Caenorhabditis elegans: one gene and its partner. The protein of the gene in region 2 purifies or fractionates together with the protein of the main gene of each other region. This does not show direct contact. Each region holds a gene or a part of one and is shown on either strand. Other genes may lie near its edges.

The links.
Region 1: the proteins of nhr-242 (region 2) and glh-2 fractionate together in Caenorhabditis elegans (co-fractionation; one large-scale study listed by BioGRID). This does not show direct contact.

The regions. Positions count from the first base shown.
Region 1 is NC_003279.8:6,512,097-6,523,673, reverse strand, and holds glh-2 (ATP-dependent RNA helicase glh-2), read right to left. Parts: upstream 9,747-11,577; 5' UTR 9,654-9,746; coding exon 9,620-9,653; intron 9,574-9,619; coding exon 8,836-9,573; intron 8,793-8,835; coding exon 8,718-8,792; intron 8,673-8,717; coding exon 8,406-8,672; intron 8,363-8,405; coding exon 8,288-8,362; intron 8,244-8,287; coding exon 6,999-8,243; intron 6,953-6,998; coding exon 6,849-6,952; intron 6,803-6,848; coding exon 6,621-6,802; intron 6,572-6,620; coding exon 6,367-6,571; 3' UTR 6,167-6,366; downstream 1-6,166. Other genes in the region: T10E9.5 (Serpentine Receptor, class Z), read left to right, coding at 232-594, 1,386-1,598, 1,648-1,728, 1,780-1,845; che-1 (C2H2-type domain-containing protein), read left to right, coding at 2,795-2,863, 3,547-3,683, 4,440-4,616, 5,042-5,226, 5,276-5,348, 5,919-6,099; C55B7.11 (Protein OSCP1), read left to right, coding at 10,026-10,312, 10,356-10,467, 10,516-11,056. UniProt on the Caenorhabditis elegans protein: Probable ATP-binding RNA helicase.
Region 2 is NC_003282.8:2,574,989-2,585,502, reverse strand, and holds nhr-242 (Nuclear Hormone Receptor family), read left to right. Parts: upstream 1-3,919; coding exon 3,920-4,121; intron 4,122-4,177; coding exon 4,178-4,243; intron 4,244-4,285; coding exon 4,286-4,335; intron 4,336-5,653; coding exon 5,654-5,922; intron 5,923-5,966; coding exon 5,967-6,073; intron 6,074-6,129; coding exon 6,130-6,353; 3' UTR 6,354-6,571; downstream 6,572-10,514.

The DNA of each region.
Region 1 (11,577 bases), on a different chromosome or scaffold from region 2:
TAATGAGATTGTGCCCAAATTCTTTTGTTCGTTTTCTTCTTCCTCTTGTCATTTCCATGTTTGCCCTTCTTCTGCTCGAAAAAATTAGATAATGTAAGAAGATGAAATGAATCCTAAAAGATGGGCGTGGTTTATTTCTTTTTTCTTCATTTCTCTCCCACTCATCCACTTTCTTAGAAAAGCTTTAAGTGGTATTTTTCTTTTTTTTTTCTTTTTCTTTTCAAATAGAAAATGTCATCATCCAATATATCAATGCCTCTAACTCTAAAAACATTCTTTTCATATTCAATATCTATATTTCAAACTACCGTGTCATTCCTTCTGCTTTTATTAATACATTTCACAATTTCAACCAAACTATCAAAAATGCTTATTGATTCTGGAATTGCTTCAGTTGAAGCAAATAGAATACAACTTTTATTATTAATTTATGCGACAATATGTCCTTTGATTTATCATCTTCTAAAAAAATTCTTTCCACCATTTATTTCAAATCGAAGAAAATGGATAATAGTGGGTCTTACCACAATTGTAATATCAATTCAGCTACTACTCGGAGTCATTCTGTTGAAGAAAAACGTTCAAGGTTTTGAGGTAAAAACTTCATTGAAGTACGGACTTTGGGGAAATGATTTAAAATCATTTCAATGATGCTAAATTGCTTTAAATTTCTCGAACAGTGGCGCAAATACAGTGTTCACCACTTTTTGACTCGAAATGAAAATTGTTTCAATTTTTTCGAAAAAGTTTATTTTGATATTTGCTCAAATGAGCACCGTAATAGCACCGCAATAGTTTTCAATCGTTTCCCCAATGTCCGTACTCCACTCTCTTAACAATCATGCAAAGTGATAAATTACCAATTTTTAATTCAGAAAATTAAACTTTCCAGTTTTATCAATCTGTGTAAAAGGTTGCTGTAAATTGTTGAAAAAAATTTGAGTCTCTTGCCAAAAGATGTTGCTAAAGAGTTGATGAAAAACCTGATTTTAAAAAACAATCGAAAATAAAGTTTTAAAAATTTTCCATCTGTGATGGGAACAATCGTTAATACCCTTTTTATGAGGTTAAGACCTTTTATTACTTTTAAAAATAATATTTGGAATTTTGAGAAGTTTATATTTTTTGAATCAAGAGAGTGCAGGAATTGTAAGCTTCCGATATTTTTACAAAGCTTCAGTTGCTAGAAATTAAAAAACTGGTATTTTTGTCACTTTCCTCAAACTTTGGCACTTTTCATATAGTCCGTACTGGATTTTTATATAAAAATGTTTCCTTGGTTTCCATCCAAAAACACTTACAACAACTCAACAACAGATTTCAAATCAAAAATTGAACTGAAAAACGATTTATTTTACAATTTTTATATATTTTTTTAATTCCAGGTAAATCTTCGTCTTGCAATTTCTCTGAAATGTCTATGTTTTGTGATAATAACATCATTATCAATAGGTCCATTAATGATTCATAATATGTACTTGGATGCAGTATCTCCTCAATGTTCCGATCGTATCAATCCATATTTTATGAGCAACATGGGTTGTGCTCTTATTCGATTTTTCACTCTGTTGCCAATTATTATTATATGCGCTCTTTTTGTGAGTTTACGAATATCAAGTTTCAAATTTAAGTTCTGTAATTTTAAAGAACAAACCAGAGGATTATGTTCCATGTTTCACCGCTCTTTTGCCTCTTCTATCTGTTAATATAATGGCATACGCATTAGAAGTAAGATTTTTTCTTATTGATAATGCAATGGCCACACTAACCTTTTTTCAGAGTCCACCCAAAATTCATTTGGTATCAAACAACGAACGGAATGATGAGGTTGAATCACAATTCTAAAAATATTTTTTTTTTAATAATTGAATAAAGTTTTCATTTATGAAGTATTGAATACGCAATTAATTTTCAGAAAAAAAACAACCCTAGGCTTCTGGTTTATACGTTCGAAAACGTTTCAACTGTTGTTCACGATTTTCGGCAAGCCGTCAAAATGATCAAAGTAACCGGAATTGCTGATGACCCGATATTTTTGTCAGTTTTCAAACACAAGTAATACATTTCAAAACTGATACGTGCAAATGGAAAATAAAAGGATGACGAGTCCGCTGGTGAGCATTTAGGTTAAAACTCAAGGGCTCGCACTTTTTTGTATACCTGTATGAAATGGAACTACCTTAAACCTATTTCTGTAATACTTCTCAGGAGAAGAGGAAATATCACAGAGATTGCCAAAGAACAATCACCACTTTCTCGTGTTGCATGGTCTCTAGGTTATGCTGTACGAGTCTCGCTCGATCAGAAACTCCTCCTAAAAAGGCCTCAAAAGGCCATATATCGTCAGTTTTACGTTGATGTCTAACAGGCACGCCGATCTATAAATTAATATGTTTTGATATGATTATTAATCTTTGACAACTGATTCCAAAGAACTAATAAAAAATAATTTCAATGACTATACAACTAAAAAACTAACAAAATTGTTCTCTAAAATTGAAAAATAAGGAATCAGAATGTGTAGGAAGTTGTTAGTAAGTGAAGCCACAATTTTCATAGATAAGAAGAAACTACGGTATTCGGATTAAAATCTCTTCTCTCCCAATTTCTCTTCTTCTTCAGCTCATCATCGAATCTCACCTGCTCTTCCTGCCAAAAACATCACAAAAATAAAGAGGGTGGAGCTTCAGAGGATTACTGTACAACCTGTTATTATCTCAGTCTCTTTTTATTTTATTTTTTCTAAGCAAATCATTAATTGAGTTTTAAACTCTTGTTTTAATTGAAATAAATAATGTCTTATCATTATCAAATGAATAATAATAACACCGATTTCTTCGATTCGGCGAATTATATTCCGCAGGTAATTTGGATTTTTTTAAACCGAAAAAGTTTTCCCGATTCAATAAATATTTGAACTATAGGGAACCCATTAAGTTACTATAAATTGATTAGAAATCTGTTTTCTCTTTCTTTTCAGATTAAGTACGATAATTTTTCAAATTTCAAACAGTTCATATCTCAACAGTATTTTGTTTCATATAAAAATTACTAGGTGAAAAGTTTTGTTTTTTCATTTAAATAAACCGTCTATTAATGTTGCCCACCATTGCTCTACTTTGACGGCTCTAGAATTTGTATTTTAAATATTATGCTTAATATTTGATAGTTTAAAACAAGAAAAAAAAAATACAATTATGAAAATAATAAACTTCACATTATTAAACAAGTGAAATTTTGTATAGTCTATTTAATTTTCAACTGATAGTTAGCATTTTAATAGAAATACGAAATTGAAAATAAAACCTGTTATTGAAGTACATGCTACTTCTCTAATATTGAGTAAAAAAAATTTGTCTTGAACTTGACTCTAGCATCAAAGAAGTGTCAGCTACAGAACAACTCATCTTTATGTTGTAGTTGACAATATTTTGATATGATCTAATTTCTTAAAATAGAAGAGATTGCTTCGATCAAGGAGTATGAATAAAAATAAATTGAACCATTTTTTTGCGAAAACCAATAATTTTTTAATCAAAATTCCAGATGCAAATGCATCATGGATATCAAGATTTTTATGCATCTGATAGCACGTCATCAATGCCATCATCTGGAACTACTCAACAAGCATTGCAACAAACTGAAAATGGAATTATTCAGGGACAAAATGGAAGTGATCATGGGTAAGAACTCAACTAGTGCTAATCTAATAGATTTTCCAATTAACTGTTAGGACTACCTTTTAGAATATCTATTTAGATATAAAAAATAATTGGGCATACCAAATTGTGAATTTAATATATTGATATTTAATGCAAAAATTGAAAAAAAAAATAATCTGACATATTTTTGAAAGAAGTGATAAAAGATATTTATATTGTAAAGTTCAAATTTTCTGTGATGTGCCATAAAAAAATTTCGCATTATTATTTGATGTTTATAAATCGTTACATAAAAAATAAAATAAATTGTTACTCCTGAAAAGATTCACAAACAGGTACGAATAATTTTTGTCGTGGTGAGACCCATCTGAAGAGAACCATGCGCCTTTAAGTAGACTTTTCACAAAACTGCGAAACGGTAATTACCAAAGCATTGGTTTAAAAGTGATAAATATAAGATATCTACTTCATTTAAAAAGGGAAATAAACGTGACGAGTAGTGTCTAAACGAATAGAATGATTTGTTTGGGAGCACAGAAAAAAGAAAAGAAACCTAACCAGAAATAGGGATTCAAAAGTGTTTCATTTGATGCAAGAAGCTCTTTTGTGAAGAAGCTGTGGGACCCCAAGTGCTTCTGGAATCCGAAAAAAGAAGATCCCATACATGTGAAATATTAGAGAAAAACTAGAGGAATTAGAGACTAAATGAGGAAGAAGATGATGACTTACAATAGAAAAAATGAATTATTGCACTTGAAGGGTTGCTTTTCATTTTAGAGCATATGGAGGATGGCGACAGCATGATTGGAATTCCACGTCGTCATGGTCGATTGGAAATCAGTTGGAAATGGAGAATGGGACATTAACCATGAGTCATGGTGCAACGAATGATGGAAATATTCGAAATAATCAACAAATGATGACATCAAATCATATAACTACAGACTCTTTTCGGTTTGTTTTTACACTTTTTGCAGATGTTACGAGATAGACTCTTGAATCGATGTTCCTCAGAAAAAAAAAACAGCACCTGCTCTCGTTACGAATAGAATATTGGGAAACCGAGGCTACAGTAACCCACTCTTCCGCGTTTTATCTTTTACATTTCATGTGTATTAAGATTTCCATCAAATATGGTTTTTGAGGAGAAAAAGTGAAAAATCGAAAAAAAAAAACGGGGAGCGAGTTACCGTATCACTTGCAGGCCTTTGATCGGCTTCCGTGTTTCCGAGAGGAAAATTGCAAACATATATTTTTTGTGAAAAATCGAATGGGCTGTATATTAAACGTCCTAATTATAAGTTTTATTCAGATTTAAAACATAACTACATATTGACAAATAAGAATAAAAGGAATTCCAAAATTGTCATTAATTTCAGTCAGATCCCTCCATCCGGTCTCTGTTATATGGATCCAACTCCATCTCTTCGCCTTCCAAAGAAAGAACCTCTTCCAGTACAACGACCAATGGCAAGATCTACACCAAAACCTTTCAGATGTCAAACTTGTGGAAAAGCATTCTCTCAAGCAGCTAATCTAACAGCTCACAAAAGAATTCATACAGGTTGAGAAGTTTCAATCAGTTTACTGCAAATAATTCATAACTTTTTCAGGAGAAAAACCATTTATGTGTCCTGTATGTAATCGTCCATTTTCTCAAAGTTCTTCTCTTGTTACTCATCGAAGGTATTAGAGGAAGGGTCCATTACTATCCCCACACACCTGTCTGCTCCTTTCTGCCACCCAGCTGAGCTTAATCCCAATTTTTATTTGGATAATTGTAGGGATTCACTAAATGACAATATTATGATACCTCTCCATTTCCCTGCCCGGATTAAGAATTTTTATAAGAACTAAAGAAAATTGATTTAGAGGTTTGGATGGATAGAGTCTATGAGAATTCGCAAAAAAATGAATCATAACAATGTCTGGATTTCATTGTCTACTTGACAATTTTAATTTTCATGTGCTTGGTTTTCTGCATCAAATATAACAAATGCCTAAAGTTTGGCACCTGTAGCGACCATTATGACTGAGATCGTGGCGAGACACACTCGGAAAAACCGCATTTGTCTTTAAAGTGAAGTGTCAAAATTTTGGAGAATTTACGATATTTGTGATATCCTCCAATTTCTTATAATAATGTCAATAACGGCAAATAAAAAATATATAAATTGCAGGTTACCATAAGAAAAAAAATTACATTTTTTCTCGAATAGTAGAAACATATTGCAAGACTATTTTTCATTATTTCAGAACACACACTGGAGAGAGACCGTATCCATGTGCTCAATGTGAGAAGGCATTCACCGACAGCTCAACTCTTACAAAACATCTGAGAACCCATACTGGACATAAACCTTATGTTTGCTCAATTTGTATGATGAAATTCACACAGAGTGGGAACTTGCATAGGCACATGAAAACTCATAAATAGTTTTTCCTATTATGGAAGTAATGTTTCTAAATGAATATTGCCATTTTCTGCAAAATATTTTACAATCCACAAGTCTCGAACAAATTTAATCAATGTCTTGTTTTGATACAATTTAACAAATTCACTGTGGAGAGGATTTACTATAAAAACGTTTTACACCAGCAAAAAATCAATAGAACATTTACATGATAAGGAGAATATATAAAAAGGGGGCATTATAATTTACTGATACAATATGGACAACATTTGAAGGATATGCAGATACATCTACCAGCAATCTTCATCTTGCTTTTGAGTTGGAACGCTGCTTTCGAATCCAAAACTAGCTCCGAAATTTCCCCCTGAAGCTCCTTGCATCCACTCTGGAACCAGTTGATCCGCGTCAGAGAGAACGCGAACAAGTTCGGACAGAAGATTACAATCTTCAGAGATGAAACTGGTGGCTCTTCCAGCGTTTCCAACTCGACCCGTTCTAAAAAAAACATGGCTAGCACATGAACATTAGAAATATCTGATTTAACCTTCCAATACGATGAATGTAGTCATCAATGTTGTCTGGCATGTCATAGTTGATGACATGATCCACTCCTTTGATATCAAGTCCACGTTCGGCAACCGCAGTAGCAATAAGAACAGGTTTCGATCCATTTCGGAATTGTCTCAAAGCCTCTGAACGCTCTCTCTGCTCACGGGCACCGTGGATCTAAATTGGAAAACAAAATTAATAATGGTTAAACTATTGTACCAACCGTGATTGCTGGTACTTGAGCCGATGATAAAATGGAGGCCAACGTATCAGCCATTGCTCTTTGCGAGACAAAAACGATAGTCTTCTTAGTGTACACTTCAGAATCTGAAAATTGGGATATATATAAACGATAAAAAAAACAGAATCACACTTTTTTCTGTCGTGTAACTGTCGATATCAATTCCTAGAATTTCCAGAAGTTTGTCCTTCTTTTCGCTTCTATCGCACTTTTCAAACTCCTGAAGGACGCACTTGTTGGCGGCCCCAATTTTGTCGATTGCAAGCATTATGTAGCCTTCCTTCAGATGATTTCGAGCTGCTTCCTGTACAGAATCGGGGAAAGTAGCACTGAACATGAGTGTCTGACGATTTTCTTTCTTCGGCATGCTCTCATAATTGACAATTGTATCGATGTCAGTTCCGAATCCCATAGCATCGATCATACGATCAGCCTCGTCAAGAACAAAGAAGCGGCATTTGTCAAGCTTGATGGTACCCTCTTCACAGAAGTGCTTGATTCTTCCGACAGTTCCGACAATGATCGTGGCTCCTTTTTCGATCTGACCCTTATTATAACCCACTGCCAATCCTCCGTAAACTGGTCTGATCTCCATCATTGTTTGATAAGCAAACTTTCTTCCCTCGTTGTAAATTTGATCAGTGAGTTCACGAGTCGGAGTCAGGATGATGCAACGGGGATAGCAACCTCCTTCTCCGGCAGTGTTCAGATCATTTTCATCAATCAGACGAGCCATGATTGGCAGAAGGAATGCAGCGGTTTTTCCTGAACCAGTTTGAGCACAAGCCATGATATCATGTCCTTGATGAATAAGTGGAAGAGTATATTGTTGAATTGGAGTGGTCTTAGTGTAGCCTGCATGTGCGACATTCTTCTTCATTGTTTCGCCCAGATTAGCTTCGGAGAACGTCTTACAAGTCTTAACTCCAACGGGTTTTTTATCAGACGTGATTTTAACTTCAGCATCAAAAAACTTGTTGAACATGAGACCTTCCGAAATTTTCTGCATGTTAAAAACTTCTTCCATGTTGTCTTCGACTGGAACGTATGTCGCCTTCGGTCCTTCTCCTTCAGCACCTTCCCTTGGCTTGGCTGGATTGGGACACTCATTCGAGCGATGACCTTGCTCGCCACAATTGAAACATCCACGTGGTGGCTCCGGACATTCTGCAGAGCGATGCCCCTCGCCTTTACAGTTGAAGCATTTCATCGGACCACGTTCCTCGTTATTACCGAAGCCTTCAGCATTTCCGCCACCGAATCCACCATCATTTCCTCCTCCGAAACCAGAGGTGAATCCATTGCGGCCTTCACGCGGTTTCCGCTCTTCCGGACAATCGCGAGAGTTGTGACCGGGCTGTTGACAATTGTAGCACACTAAAAATGAAAAATTACGTCTAAAAATTATTTTAAACTAAAACCTCTGGGTTCCCTTTCCTTTTTCGGCTCTGGACAGTCATTCGATCGATGTCCTGGCTGCTGACAATTGAAACAATCTATAAGCAACGTGAAGAGATAGATTTCAAGCAGCAAACATACTATTATTCCTTTCGCCTCGATCTTGTCCCCCACCGCCGCTTCCGAATCCATTCGAGTTACCACCAAAACCTCCCGAACCGAAGCCAGATTCACCATTGTTACCACTACCAAATCCGTTAGTTAATCCACTGTCGAATCCAGTTCCACCACCATTTCCTCCTCCGAAACCAGAGCTTCCACCGGTGAATCCATTTCGGCCTTCACGCGGTTTCCGCTCTTCTGGACAATCGCGAGAGTTGTGACCAGGCTGCTGGCAATTGTAACACACTAAAAATAAAACAGATTACGTCTAAAAACATTTTAAGCTAAAACCTCTGGGTTCCCTTTCCTTTTTCGGCTCTGGACAGTCATTCGATCGATGTCCTGGCTGCTGGCAATTGAAACAATCTAAAAGCAACGTGAAGATATAGATTTCAAGTAGCAAACATACTATTATTCCTTTCGCCTCGATCTTGTCCCCCACCACCACTTCCGAATCCATTCGAGTTACCTCCTGAACCGAAGCCACTTCCACCAGAGTTGCCTCCACCGAAACCTCCTGATTTTCCTCCACCAAACCCAGATTCATGATTGTTGCCACTACCAAATCCATTGGTCAATCCGCTACCAAAACCAGATCCACTGTTGCTATTACCGCCAAATCCAGTTCCACCAGCTTTTCCACTGCCGAATCCAGTTCCACCAGCTTTTCCACTGCCGAATCCAGTTCCACCAGCATTTCCACTGCCGAATCCAGTTCCACCAGCATTTCCACTGCCGAATCCAGTTCCACCAGCATTTCCACTGCCCAATCCAGTTCCACCAGCATTTCCACTGCCGAATCCAGTTCCACCAGCATTTCCACCGCCGAATCCAGTTCCACCAGCATTTCCGCTGCCGAACCCAGTTCCACCAGCATTTCCACTGCCGAATCCAGTTCCACCAGCATTTCCACTGCCGAATCCAGTTCCACCAGCATTTCCACTGCCGAATCCAGTTCCACCAGCATTTCCATTGCCGAATCTGGGTCCAACGTTGTTATTACCGCCGAATCCAGATCCACCATTGTTGCTACTACCAAATCCCGTCCCGCCTGCATTTCCACTTCCAAAACCACCAGTGTTACCGCTACCGAATCCCGATCCTCCGCCAAACCCTGATGGATTGCTTCCAAAACTGATGGTTTTCGCTACAATAAATCAGCATTAAATATTTCATTAAAATTTTATAAAAACCTGCAGCAGTATTATTATCCCAATCGTCAGACATCTTCGAACTTCCAGGAAAAAGTACAAGTTTGGCGTTTGCAAACCAAAAAATTTTAAATGAATGGAAACTCAGAAACTCGCGCGCAAAAGATTTGAAATTTGCCGCGCGGGAGTACTGTAGAGGACGAACGTGGCGAGACCCTTGTCCTATGCTGCTCGTATGAGCCTTTTAAAAACTCAATTTGGGATTTTCTGAATACAATTTCAGTATCCTTGCATCGCACTTTTTGCCATACCAGTAATACTTTGTGGAACCTTCAGAATTTTTCTTTCTGAAAATAGTTTCCCTAATTAATCTGGAGACCTTTTTAAACTTAAACGTTCGTTTATCTTTTGGCATATTTAATTTACAATTTAATTAATTTTTTCAGAAATGAATATTAGTGTACTGGACGCAATTCATGCTCTCAACGAACTTTCAATGCAAGACTATTTGCCTCGTCCGCGAGGAGGAGGAGTTCTTCTCAGCCACATAACTCAGTATTATCAAAGCAAGGATGGAATCGAACCCCTCGCGAAAAAAATTATCGAGTCACTGAGAAGCCATACAATGAAGGACGACGATATGGCACACATTTCATGCCAATCAATGATTGCAATGGTCGCAGAACCGTTGCCTATGGAAGAAAAATCATGGATTATTCAACTTCTGATTCAATGGTAATAACTCTGAATTTGGCCAAATTTAAACAATATTCTTAAGGGTTCATATCACGAATACTGCCAACGACGTTTTAGCTTGTATTCTTCAATCCCTTCGGTCATTCAACGTTCATTTTAACGAAGTATACGCGATTCGGACGGCGATTTTCAACGTAAATTTGTTTGAACATCAAATTTTGCCTTCAATTAAAAAATTGCAGTATGTCACACAACCAGAGCTTAACACTGAAACGTTGATTGAGATCTTACCGGACGGAAAACTCATTCTGAACCCACGTGACGCTTCAAAGTATGCTGAAAAACCTTGCGATGAACATATTTTCATTCTCAAACAGCTTCAAAAACTGGTTTCATACAAGAAATTCACGTACTTCACGGCTCTGATACAATATGATTTTGCTCGCTGTAACTCTGAAACTCGCTGCAGCCAGATTTCTAGACCAATATCAAACTACAAGTCTTCTGGATTTGATATGGAAAATCAAAGTTTATTCTCTGTTGGTTTTGGAAAGTATTCCTTCTCGGATGGTGTTTCTCCTGCTGAGGATTTGATGACTAACGAGCATAATTCGGCATTGGAAATGTATCAAAGTAGTATGAAAGCCCTTGAAAATTTCAAGTGCAATGAAAAATTGGTTGGAAAACAATGGGTAGTAACAACGATTGAAGAAGATAGTGATGATGAAGTCGATGAGGAAGAACAATGGAACCTCTCAGCTACCGAAGCAACATCCGATTCTGGTCAGTTTATTTTAAAAATTTTCATAAGATTGAAATAGATTATATCGATCAAACTTTATATTTTTAGGGTATCATGAAAAATGAACAATTTTCGATTGTTCGATTTTCCTGAAAAATAAAAAAATTTAGAAAGTTAACAAAGAAAAATCAGTTTCAAAAAATTATTGTTTTGTTGATGGGAAAAATCATAAGAAAACATAATTTTCTTCTAAAAAGAAGATAAACTCTAAAAATGAAATATTTTTCGAAATATCGGAAAAGCGAAAAAATTTCGATTTTCCTGAAAAACGAAAAATCGGAAAATTTTTTAAGAAAATGTTTAATAATCAATTTTTTGTGTTGATGAAAAAAAAATTAAGGAAACATGAATTTATTCTAAAACGAGAAAACCCGCAACTTTTTAAAAAAATGTAAACAAAAAAATGTTTTCCTGAAAAACGATAAATCGGCACCCTTGATCCTAGCTGTGGAGTTCACAAAATTTATGGAGTTTTTAAAAGCTTCACATATTAGTAACCTAC
Region 2 (10,514 bases):
CGCTCTTGAAGGTGCCTATATAAATATATATATAAGTATGTATACGTATATATAAGTATATATATATATACTATATATAAGGTACCTATAAAACCAACCTATAAATGCGTAGTACCCATTTTCAAATTTTGATGGCAATTTTGTGGCTAACAGGAAGATGAAAGGAATTAAAAAGTAAAATTGAATTTCAACTGACAACGACCAGGTATGAGTGAATATGTCTATTGCTTTTGTGAGCTGGAATTATAGGATGTATCAATCAAATCGGAATTATATACCATCATAAAGTAATCCTGTGCTTCTGTTTTTGGAGTATTTGACACAAACAATAGAGCCCGTATCGCAGATTCCTGATTTGTTTCAACTACGATGTCCGGGAAAAATGAATAGAGACAAATCATGGAACAAAATATGATTAGTAGTAAAGTGGTAGAATTCTTTTAAATCTTTTGCTATAGAATATAGTTATCAGAGTACATGGTGGCTCCTTCTCAGCTCTCTTTAATAGCATACACATAAGAAATCCAGATAATACAAAGAATCTGAAAATAATAATTATAGTTTCATAAATTAGAAAAATTGGTACACTTACTGATCAACACCTAAATATCCATTTGGAAAAGTGTCAGGGTAAAAATGGAAACCGAGAACTGCAATTATAGCCAAACCACGTATACCTTGTAGGTCAAATCTTTTTTGTGATGGTTTTATTGGCGAGTAACCCATCTGAAATTTTCTATGTTATTTTGAGATGAAAATAGAAATTTAAGAAATTAAAAGTGAACACGGAAACTGAAACATATATGTTTGTGTTATGAACTCACAATAAAACGAAACACAAATTGAATATACCTCCCTACATAAAAAAAAACGGAACATACATGTCTCTATAGAATCAGGTTGAGTTATGCGTGGAAAATAAATCGTTGAAAAAAAAGAAAAAATGCCAATTGTCCGAATAAGAAACTCTTTCAATGTTTGCTCTTCAGATTAAAAAGTGAGCCACGGTTGATAAAACGAGAGTCCAAATATTTCAGTCGTTTTAAAACAAGAAGTTTGAATTCTCTAGTGCACTTAATGTTCACCAAATTCAAATAAAAAGCACAAATTTCATCCCGTTTCTTGAAAACCTTCACAACTATCCAATAGTTAATTTCATTCCTAAGAATGCAATAAATTTTTCCTCTATCAGCACACAACAGTACACATTTCACACCCTTTTAGAAATTGCTTCAGGAAATCATTCAAAAAAGTGATGACCGCGAGTTTGCAAGCATGTTTATTTTGAAAAATACATGATATTGCAAAATAAATAGCTGGAAGCATTATGAAATAAATATAAAATCGGAATAGGGCAAATTCATTTATTCGAGACCATTTATTACACTACCCATATAAAATTTAAATACTGAAAACCAAAGGACATTTATTAAAATTCAAATTCAACAAATGTAATGCTGCTTTTCAACGTTTATAGATTAAGGTTATACTATAAAAAGAACCATAAAAATAATCGCAAAGAGCACCTCCATACCAAAGAATTCACTATTTTTCCATAGGTTCCTTTTTATCAGTGGAAAATGAGTCGTAAAAGTAAAGGAAGTGTTGTAGAAGTGAACTACGTTTTAACTAATAGGCATGGATATGAATAAAAATAAAACGATCAGAATGACTTTATATGTTAACCAGCGTTGATAAAACAGCAGTGCAAATATTTCCAGTTGTTTTAAAACAAGAATTTTGAATTATACAATGTATTAAACATTCACCAGATTTAAATAAAAAGTAAAAATTTCATTCAGTTTCTTGAAAACCTTCACAATTGTTTCACATATTTATAAAAATGCAATAAATGTTTCCTCTATCAAAACACAAAATTTTTGTTTATAGACATTTCACACCCTTTTAGAAATGCCTTCAGGTAACCATTCAAAACGGTGCAGACAACAAGTTTGTAAGCATTTGAAAAGTATACAAAAACACGATGAAAGGATTATGAAATCAAAAAATCAAACAAAAATCGTGGGTTTTCGAGTTTGAAGTACTCTCAAGTTGAGATGTGGTTGCCATTAGCATTAGCAACACTCAGATGATCTTCATGTGATTCGTTGTTCAAATCTGAATATTCATTTTTCCAAGAAAATCACTTCATATATTTGAGACCATTTATTAATACTACCTATAACAAAGTTTAAATACTGAAAACTCTAATACTTCAGGATCATCATAGTTTCGCACAAACATCCGTCCAAATGTGTCCCAACAAGTTTACTGATGTGTCTGAGACAAAACATACCATTTTTGCAGAAATAATTTTCTTCGCCAAGTTGCATATTTGCGGATTATTTACAAAATTCTAGCTTAAATAGAAGATCCGTCCAATTTCAACGAATTCTTTCCTGTATTTCCGGCTTTGCCTTTGCTTTTCTTTGTTTTTGAAATGAGATCTAAGCCAATTTAAACACTTTCAATTTAAACGGACATTTCGCAAAAAGTCTGTGTAAACACTACAAAAATCACAAAAATCTCTACCACTCCCAAAAAAAAAATCAAAATAAAAACGCTAAAAATAGAATGAACGCCACCCTCAGTAGGTAAACAATACAGTACTCTTTTCATACAAATTAGGACTTATTTTAAAATCAAGTTATAGACAACGGGAATACATAGAATACTTGGCATTCACTTTAAGCTTTCACCAACTTTTTATCACGCGGCGCTGTGTAAAATGAAGATCAATTTTTGAAGTTTCAAAAAAATAATTTTTTTTCAGTTGTAATTAAGTTTCGAATTTCAAAGTTGCCTAGTGCAATAATCGTTGGTAAGATGGTAAGATAGGTTGCGCTAGAAAACTCAAAGTTTTGTCTGACGTGGTATAAACTTGGTTAGAAATCTAATGAATGCTAAAATTAAAAAAAAGCTTTATGTACTCCAGTTGTCTTTAACAAATTGCTGATTTTATTCCAAAATTGTCCCAATTTGCATTAAAAGACTACTGTATTGTCTACCTATCGGCTGCTGGGGGTGGCGTTCTTTTTTTGAACCATTTTGATTCTGCTTCACTAAGCTGGTAGAGATCTTTGTAGTGTTTACACAGGCAACATGACCTTTTAAATTCGAGCGCAAGTTGAGGTAGGCCTATTTTTAAGGGTGAAGATTACATGAGGGTCCTACCACAACTTGATGATTATGGTATAATTATCCCCGCAAATATCTATGAAAAGCTTCATGGACTACCATCATGACATCTGACAAAATACATTGACTGTAACAAAACCACGACATACAAACAAAAAACAGCTACACTTGGCAAGTCGGAACCACTTCTTCACAAACTTTAGCCACGTGGAAAAGTTGGTTAAAATTGGTCGAAGTTGGTTAATTTGGGCAGTATTTTCACGCTCTGAACAACTGGAAAAAACTTGGTGAGAGTTGACGAAGATTGGCGAAAGTTGGTTAAGAAGTGAACAAAGTTGGTTAGAATACAGAAAAATTTGTTTGGAAAATAGTTGAAATCTAATGAATGTTAGAAAGTGGCTAAAATTGGTTGAGAAGTGGCCACGAATTGCTGAGTACGTGAACCATTTAAACTGTTATACAGTCACCGTCTTCCTAGTAGTTTGATATACTTCAAACAACTGTTCTGATAGTGAGATACAGTTAAAGACAATGATCCTTATAGACAATAAATGAAAATTTCCGCCACAGATGACTAAACTACGTGTAAAATTATTGGCCAGTGATGTTTAGAATGTTTGAACAACTGTTAGGATGTTAATTTTCGAGTCGAATCGGATAATTTATGTAGAAACTGAGCAAGAGTAAATAAAAAGGTCCATTGTTTGATTCCTAGAATTTTCGAATAAAAAGAGGAGAGCTATGGGTGAGGTGCACAATTGAGAGAAGCTCTTGCAAAAAAATGTCATCCCTAGGCTCCACAACTTCTTCTTCCACTCCATCAAGCCAAACTTCTGAACTATGCGCTGTTTGTGGTGGGAAAGCGAGTAGCAGTCGGTATGGAGCCTTGTCTTGTATCGGATGTCTTGTATTCTTCCGAAGAATGACTTGCGGCGAGAAAAAGTGGTATTGCCTGCGGAATCGGAATTGCGAGATCAATATAGGTAACTATTTACATAAGAGTTTTGAAGCGCAATAACAACCAATCGGTGTTCTTTAGCTACAAGAAACACATGCCGTGCATGCCGACTTCAGAAATGCCTGAACGTAGGAATGAATCCAAATGGTTAGTTTTATATTAAATCTAGCCAACAAGGCCAATTTTCAGCCATTCAGCGACGGGACGAAATTGGGCCGAGAAAACCGAAGGTTTCTAAGGTAAGAAACTTGAGTGGTTTGTTGCAACTACAACAAAACCACTAAATGCAGCATCGGCTAACTTGCGCTCAAAATTTTAGTTTTTCGGGAGAAACACAGAACAATGTGAGTTGCCAATCTTACTAACGATAAGAGCATAGTAACGAGATTCAGCAGTGACTCGAAACCAGGGGAAGGCGCAATCAAACTTTTGGCAATTTCGGCAATTGCTGCCGATTGCCAAAAAATTGCCGGAAATCAGAACTGCCGGAAAAATAAATTTGATAATTTTTGTAGATTTAAGAGCATATACAAATTTTATCTTTTCATATTTAAAATCATTGAATCCTTGCTGGATTGAACGCTTTCTGTTAGAAAATGACTAATCGAATACTGAAAAACAAGGTGAAACATTTTCAATTTCCGAAACATAACATTCCGCAATTGCCGGAGTTGCCGATTGCCCGAAAAATTTTTGTTTGGCAACTGTAAAAATTTCCGATTGCCACACACCCCTGCTTGTGTAGTAATTTTACTGTAGAACACCAACTGATATCTTCAAATTGAATTCCTTCAAACTATTACACAAAAATAAAAGGGATGTAATTTATACTGAAACATTCACTTCATAGCATACTCCTGCAACTTAATAAAAACATTTATATAACTTTGTAAAAAGCTGTTAAGAATTTGCGAAAACCGACGGGATTGTGAGCGAAATTTAGCTTTACATCTGCTAAGAAATTGCAAAAGTCGTCTGAAAAGCTGCAGAAGTTTGCTTAAAAGCTAAAATGCCTAATTGTTGTTAAGAAGTTGCAAGAGTATGCTATGAATTTAGGCCGTTTTGCCGAGATGGTCGAGTAGCGCCAGTGGGGATTTTGTCTAAATGCACTTATAATGATCCAAAACAACGGAATATCATAATAAAACACTCAAAAAAATTTAGATTTTTCATAATTTCCGCTGAAAGTTTTAGCAAATTGCCGAAATTTTGAAAAATACGAGCTTTTGAGGAAATTTAAACCAATCTCGCATGTTCCGGCCCCTACAATGTTTTAATACATTTAATTAAAACATAATTAAAACATAAAAAATGTCGAAAAAAACATTTTTTTTTTTGGTCGGCTTCCAAAATTATGAGTGTCAAAATCTGAGTAATTGCCACTTTTTGACAGTAAATAAAAAGTTTTCAAAATTGTATTGAAAAGTTTTATCATGATATTTGGTCATTTTGGGACCAAAGGAGTAGTTTTAAACAATTTCCCCACTGGCGCTACTCCACCTTTGGTGTATAATTTTCAATCGGTATGCTTTAATTCTGCAAAAACCACTGCTTCAGTTCAGCCAAAAGCAATATAACGCTGCAACCTCGAGCGAATGTGCAATGTGCCTACATATAGGATTTCAAAATGCATTGGAATGGGCAAATCAACTCGAGTCTTTTTCAATGTTAAGCCATGTAGACAAGCAGAATATTTTATCAGAATATGGTATTGCATTCACACTTATTGATCAAGGTTACAAGACGGCACGCGATGCTGATGAACAATGCTGGTTACTTCAGAATGGCAGTGTGCTGCATTGTGAGCAACTTTTCAACAGTTCTGAGTGAGTTCTTGAATTGAATATACTTTTAGTCTGAAGTTTTTCAGTGCTGACTTGGTCAACCAGTTGATTGCAAATATCAGTCAGCCATTGAAACGTCTAGAACTAGATGAATATGAATGTGGCCTGCTGAAATCATTGCTTCTGCTGTCTTGTTAGTTTTTTTTCTAAATTTAATGAGTACTTAACTTATTTTTTTGCTGATTCCAGCCTCGTTTCCTGGCGAAGTGCAACTAAACTCACAGCAATCTCGAGCAAAATGTTTAACAGAAATGCTACAACACAGAAATGATCCAGAACGGTTTGGAGAAATTATTTTACTAATCGGTTCAATTAGAAGTTCAGTTAAATTATTTTATAACCAAACGAAACGTTCAGACCTTTTCAATGTTCTCAATTTTAGTTATTTTGTTAGGAATAATATGGCTTGTTGAACTTGTTAACTTGATTTATGTATTTTAAAAATGTCGAAATTGAGAGTAAACAACTACACTGCAACTTATTTTTTGAACGAGGGACGAGGAAAAGCGGTTTCTAAAAAATTGCTCATCTGTAAACGTTTACGCATTGTGTTTGAATATGTTGTGATTTAATCTTTCTCGAGTTTATAACAATCAAAACACTCACTAATATTAATGAAAATTACATTTACTGCTGTAGTCGATAATAGTCTTTTTGAATGTTAGAACTGATCTTTTCACCTAGATCCCATTTAATACGTTAATACACTTCTTACAATTTCACTGATTAGCAAAAGTCACGGAGAATTGTACATAAACATGGGCCAGTTTGTGATTCTGATAAATAGTCACAAGTTCAAATGAAACTTTACAAATTGTCCCAAATTATTCAATTGCGAGTTTGAACCTGAAAAGTCTAAGTTTTCCAACAATTTCTACAAAATTCCAGCCTACCTCTTCACTTTCCACAGAATTTGGGTGTAGTATGGGATGCAACAACTGCATTTGTCATAAAGATAAACTGTGGGGAACACTTAAACCTTTACTGGTAGTCAGCGAGTGTCACTGATTTTTGCTAACGCGTATCAGTGGTAGTTGCGATCCACCAGCTTTAGTTTCTCGTTTATTTTAAAAGTAGTCCCCTCGAATGTTCTTCTCGTTTTACCGTTTCCCGTTTTCTGATTATTCTGGCAGTGCGATTAGTCGCTATTCTCGTGCTGTATCTTCAAGAGGATTCTCGGATTCAATGGATTGGTAGCTAACACTCGGGAAGCTTAGGAGCACATTTGCAAGTCGAGCGACGATGGATTCGGTGGAAAGTAAGGTCAGTTTAGTGAAGGTCGGCTGAAGTTAGGGGTAGTACACCTGACGTACTGGTAAGAGAACCATCTATCTTATAAGCACGACACCGCTGTAGGGTCACATCGAATGCTTTCCCTGCCTCCTCAGGGGAAGTATTCACACATCTGGATTTCGTAACTTCGTCGGGGAGTGTTAAAATCAAATATGTTTAGCACTCTGGGGTCAAAATTTAACAATTTTCGCTCATTATGTTTACCTCTTATTTTAGGAAAAACTTTTAATAAAATGTTGCAGACGGGTTTGAGTAGTGTCTCATTTTTCAAGACCGATTAGCCACAAATCAGGATTTCGAGCTCCAACTCAAATTCACTTTCCAACCGTCTCCGCACGGGTTCTCCTCTATTAAAAATAGTGTTTCGTGCTCATGGATGCAGTAGTGGCAGACTGGCAAATCCGCCGAGCTGAATTTCCTTCCTGAAGAAGACCGGTATGCAGTGGAGCGAACTCAGATGGAGATTGGTTGTGCTTCAACGTGGCATTTGGCTGAAGCGGCGTCGGTGATGATTAACGAGTTGGTCAGAGTTTCGCATAAAGGATTTGGAGAGTCAGGTAACTGAAGGTTTCGGTTGTTTTTGAAAATTTCTAGTGAGGCTTGTGAGAGTCTCACTCTGCGGACTCAATTCCGTGCATTTTATAATTGGTGTTAGAGGTGGAGGAAAATTTGTTAATTCCTGAAGCGCAGGTGGCGCAGAAGGAGGTGAGATGATCGAGGAGTCCTCGAGAAATCAATCGTTGCAAAAGCAGCAAAACCGAGTACCGCGTCGGATGGGGCGTGTCAGCATAAGAGGAGTATGTTTGACAGCAGGTAGCTCGATGGGAAAATAATTAAAAATCATCGTGAGAGATGAGTTCACGGGTTTCGAATGCAATAATTTCGTTACTGATGTGAGTCCGTTGTCAGTAGCGGAAAAATTCCAGTTTATATTCATCTTGTTCAGACAATCGATAAGTTTGTTCAAGAAGGTCGCAAGAGATGATGATACAGGTAGAGAAATGAGATTTCTCAAGTGTCCTTTGGGAGACCCAAGAGTGGCGAAAATCAGGATGTATTTCTACAAGAAATTCGGTGAGCAATCGAGGAGCTCATACGATCGGAGGTCGGTCGTGGAAGAGGATGCGGGACGGAACAACAAGTTCACATGAAGATCAAGACAAGTGGCAGTCGAGGATCGGGTCCAGAGCATCAAGAAGACGGAAAGTCGATGGTCAATGGCTAGCGGAGGAACGCAGGAAGAATCTAAGATTCTAATGTAAGTATTTCATTCAAAATATTGCGGTATCATGACCGTGCCTTTATTCGTGAAGCCAGTTGACAAAGTGAAAACTGATATAATGTGTCAGTGTGTGATTTTAAAATCGATACAGCGTCTGTAACGCTGTAAAAGAATCCAGTATGGATTGGGCAATTATTTTTGCCGTACCTGACTTTGGAAAGTCTTGCTGATCGCCAACGGAGGATCCAAGAGCATCGGATGTGGCGAGTCAGCGTAATGCAGTTCAGCATATTTGATTGTGGAAGCGGAAGAAGAAAGACGTCATCCTGTCGAGTAAGGTAAATTTTTGTTTGTTTTCTTCCTCCCGGTCTCAGAACCGGTTTTATTTTCCACATTAATCATACATTTTCGAGACAGAAATTTTTCCGTTAAGAAAGGTGATTGAAAACCATTGAGGTTCAACATTTTGAACGCAAATCTTTGAAGAATTTTAGAAATTTTTTTTTTCTGATCGAAGAAGTTCGAGGTGGCTGGGAGGATGCACATGAAGATCCCAGCGGAGATTTTCGAGCAAATATCAAGGAGATGCTCTTGTGTCGATGACTGAGGACGATGCAGCAGCATTCAAAGGAGAATCGAGATCGAAGTTTTCGAGATTTAAGGAATGAGGTTTCTATGGAAACGAGCGGAAGAGTGAAATAAAGCTGATACTGAAGAGTGCGCCAATGGTTCAACCGATCGATTATTTGGAACAAAAAGGACGTGGTTCTGATGGTCGATGCGAAATTCGAGAGAGAAGACAATTGGTTCGGATCTCAAACAGTTGCATGGCTCCGAACGCAAGGATTTTAGTGTCAAATCCAACGAATGACGAAGAAGACGCTGCAGAGGACGAAGAAGAAGGCCCAGACAACGTCGTCAGCCAGTCGATCGTGGAGGAGAAGCTGGCGGTTCGAAGAGACTCCGGAGAAAGAAGAAAGCTGAGAGCTAAACAGTTTTATAAAAGAAAAAAGAAGCACTTCATATGATTTTCCGGTACTTTTGAATTTTTGAAAAAAAACCGCTTTAGATGCATTTTCTGAATTTTTTAAAATAATCTTCCGTACAAGATAGCATACTTTGTTTGGTATTTTCTGGTATATTTGACTATGCTAAACAGTGTTATAAAAGAAAAAAGAAGCACTTTTTATGATTTTCCGGTACTTTTGAATTTTTGAAAAAAAACCGCTTTAGATGCATTTTCTGAATTTTTTAAAATAATCTTTCGTACAAGATAGCATACTTTGTTTGGTATTTTCTGGTATATTCGACTATGCTAAACAGTTTTATAAAAGAAAAAAGAAGCACTTCATATGATTTTCCGGTACTTTTGAATTTTTGAAAAAAAACCGCTTTAGATGCATTTTCTGAATTTTTTAAAATAATCTTCCGTACAAGATAGCATACTTTGTTTGGTATTTTCTGGTATATTTGACTATGCTAAACAGTGTTATAAAAGAAAAAAGAAGCACTTTTTATGATTTTCCGGTACTTTTGAATTTTTGAAAAAAAACCGCTTTAGATGCATTTTCTGAATTTTTTAAAATAATCTTTCGTACAAGATAGCATACTTTGTTTGGTATTTTCTGGTATATTCGACTATGCTAAACAGTTTTATAAAAGAAAAAAGAAGCACTTCATATGATTTTCCGGTACTTTTGAATTTTTGAAAAAAAACCGCTTTAGATGCATTTTCTGAATTTTTTAAAATAATCTTTCGTACAAGATAGCATACTTTGTTTGGTATTTTCTGGTATATTTGACTATGCTAAACAGTGTTATAAAAGAAAAAAGAAGCACTTTTTATGATTTTCCGGTACTTTTGAATTTTTGAAAAAAAACCGCTTTAGATGCATTTTCTGAATTTTTTAAAATAATCTTTCGTACAAGATAGCATACTTTGTTTGGTATTTTCTGGTATATTTGACTATGCTAAACAGTGTTATAAAAGAAAAAAGAAGCACTTTTTATGATTTTCCGGTACTTTTGAATTTTTGAAAAAAAACCGCTTTAGATGCAT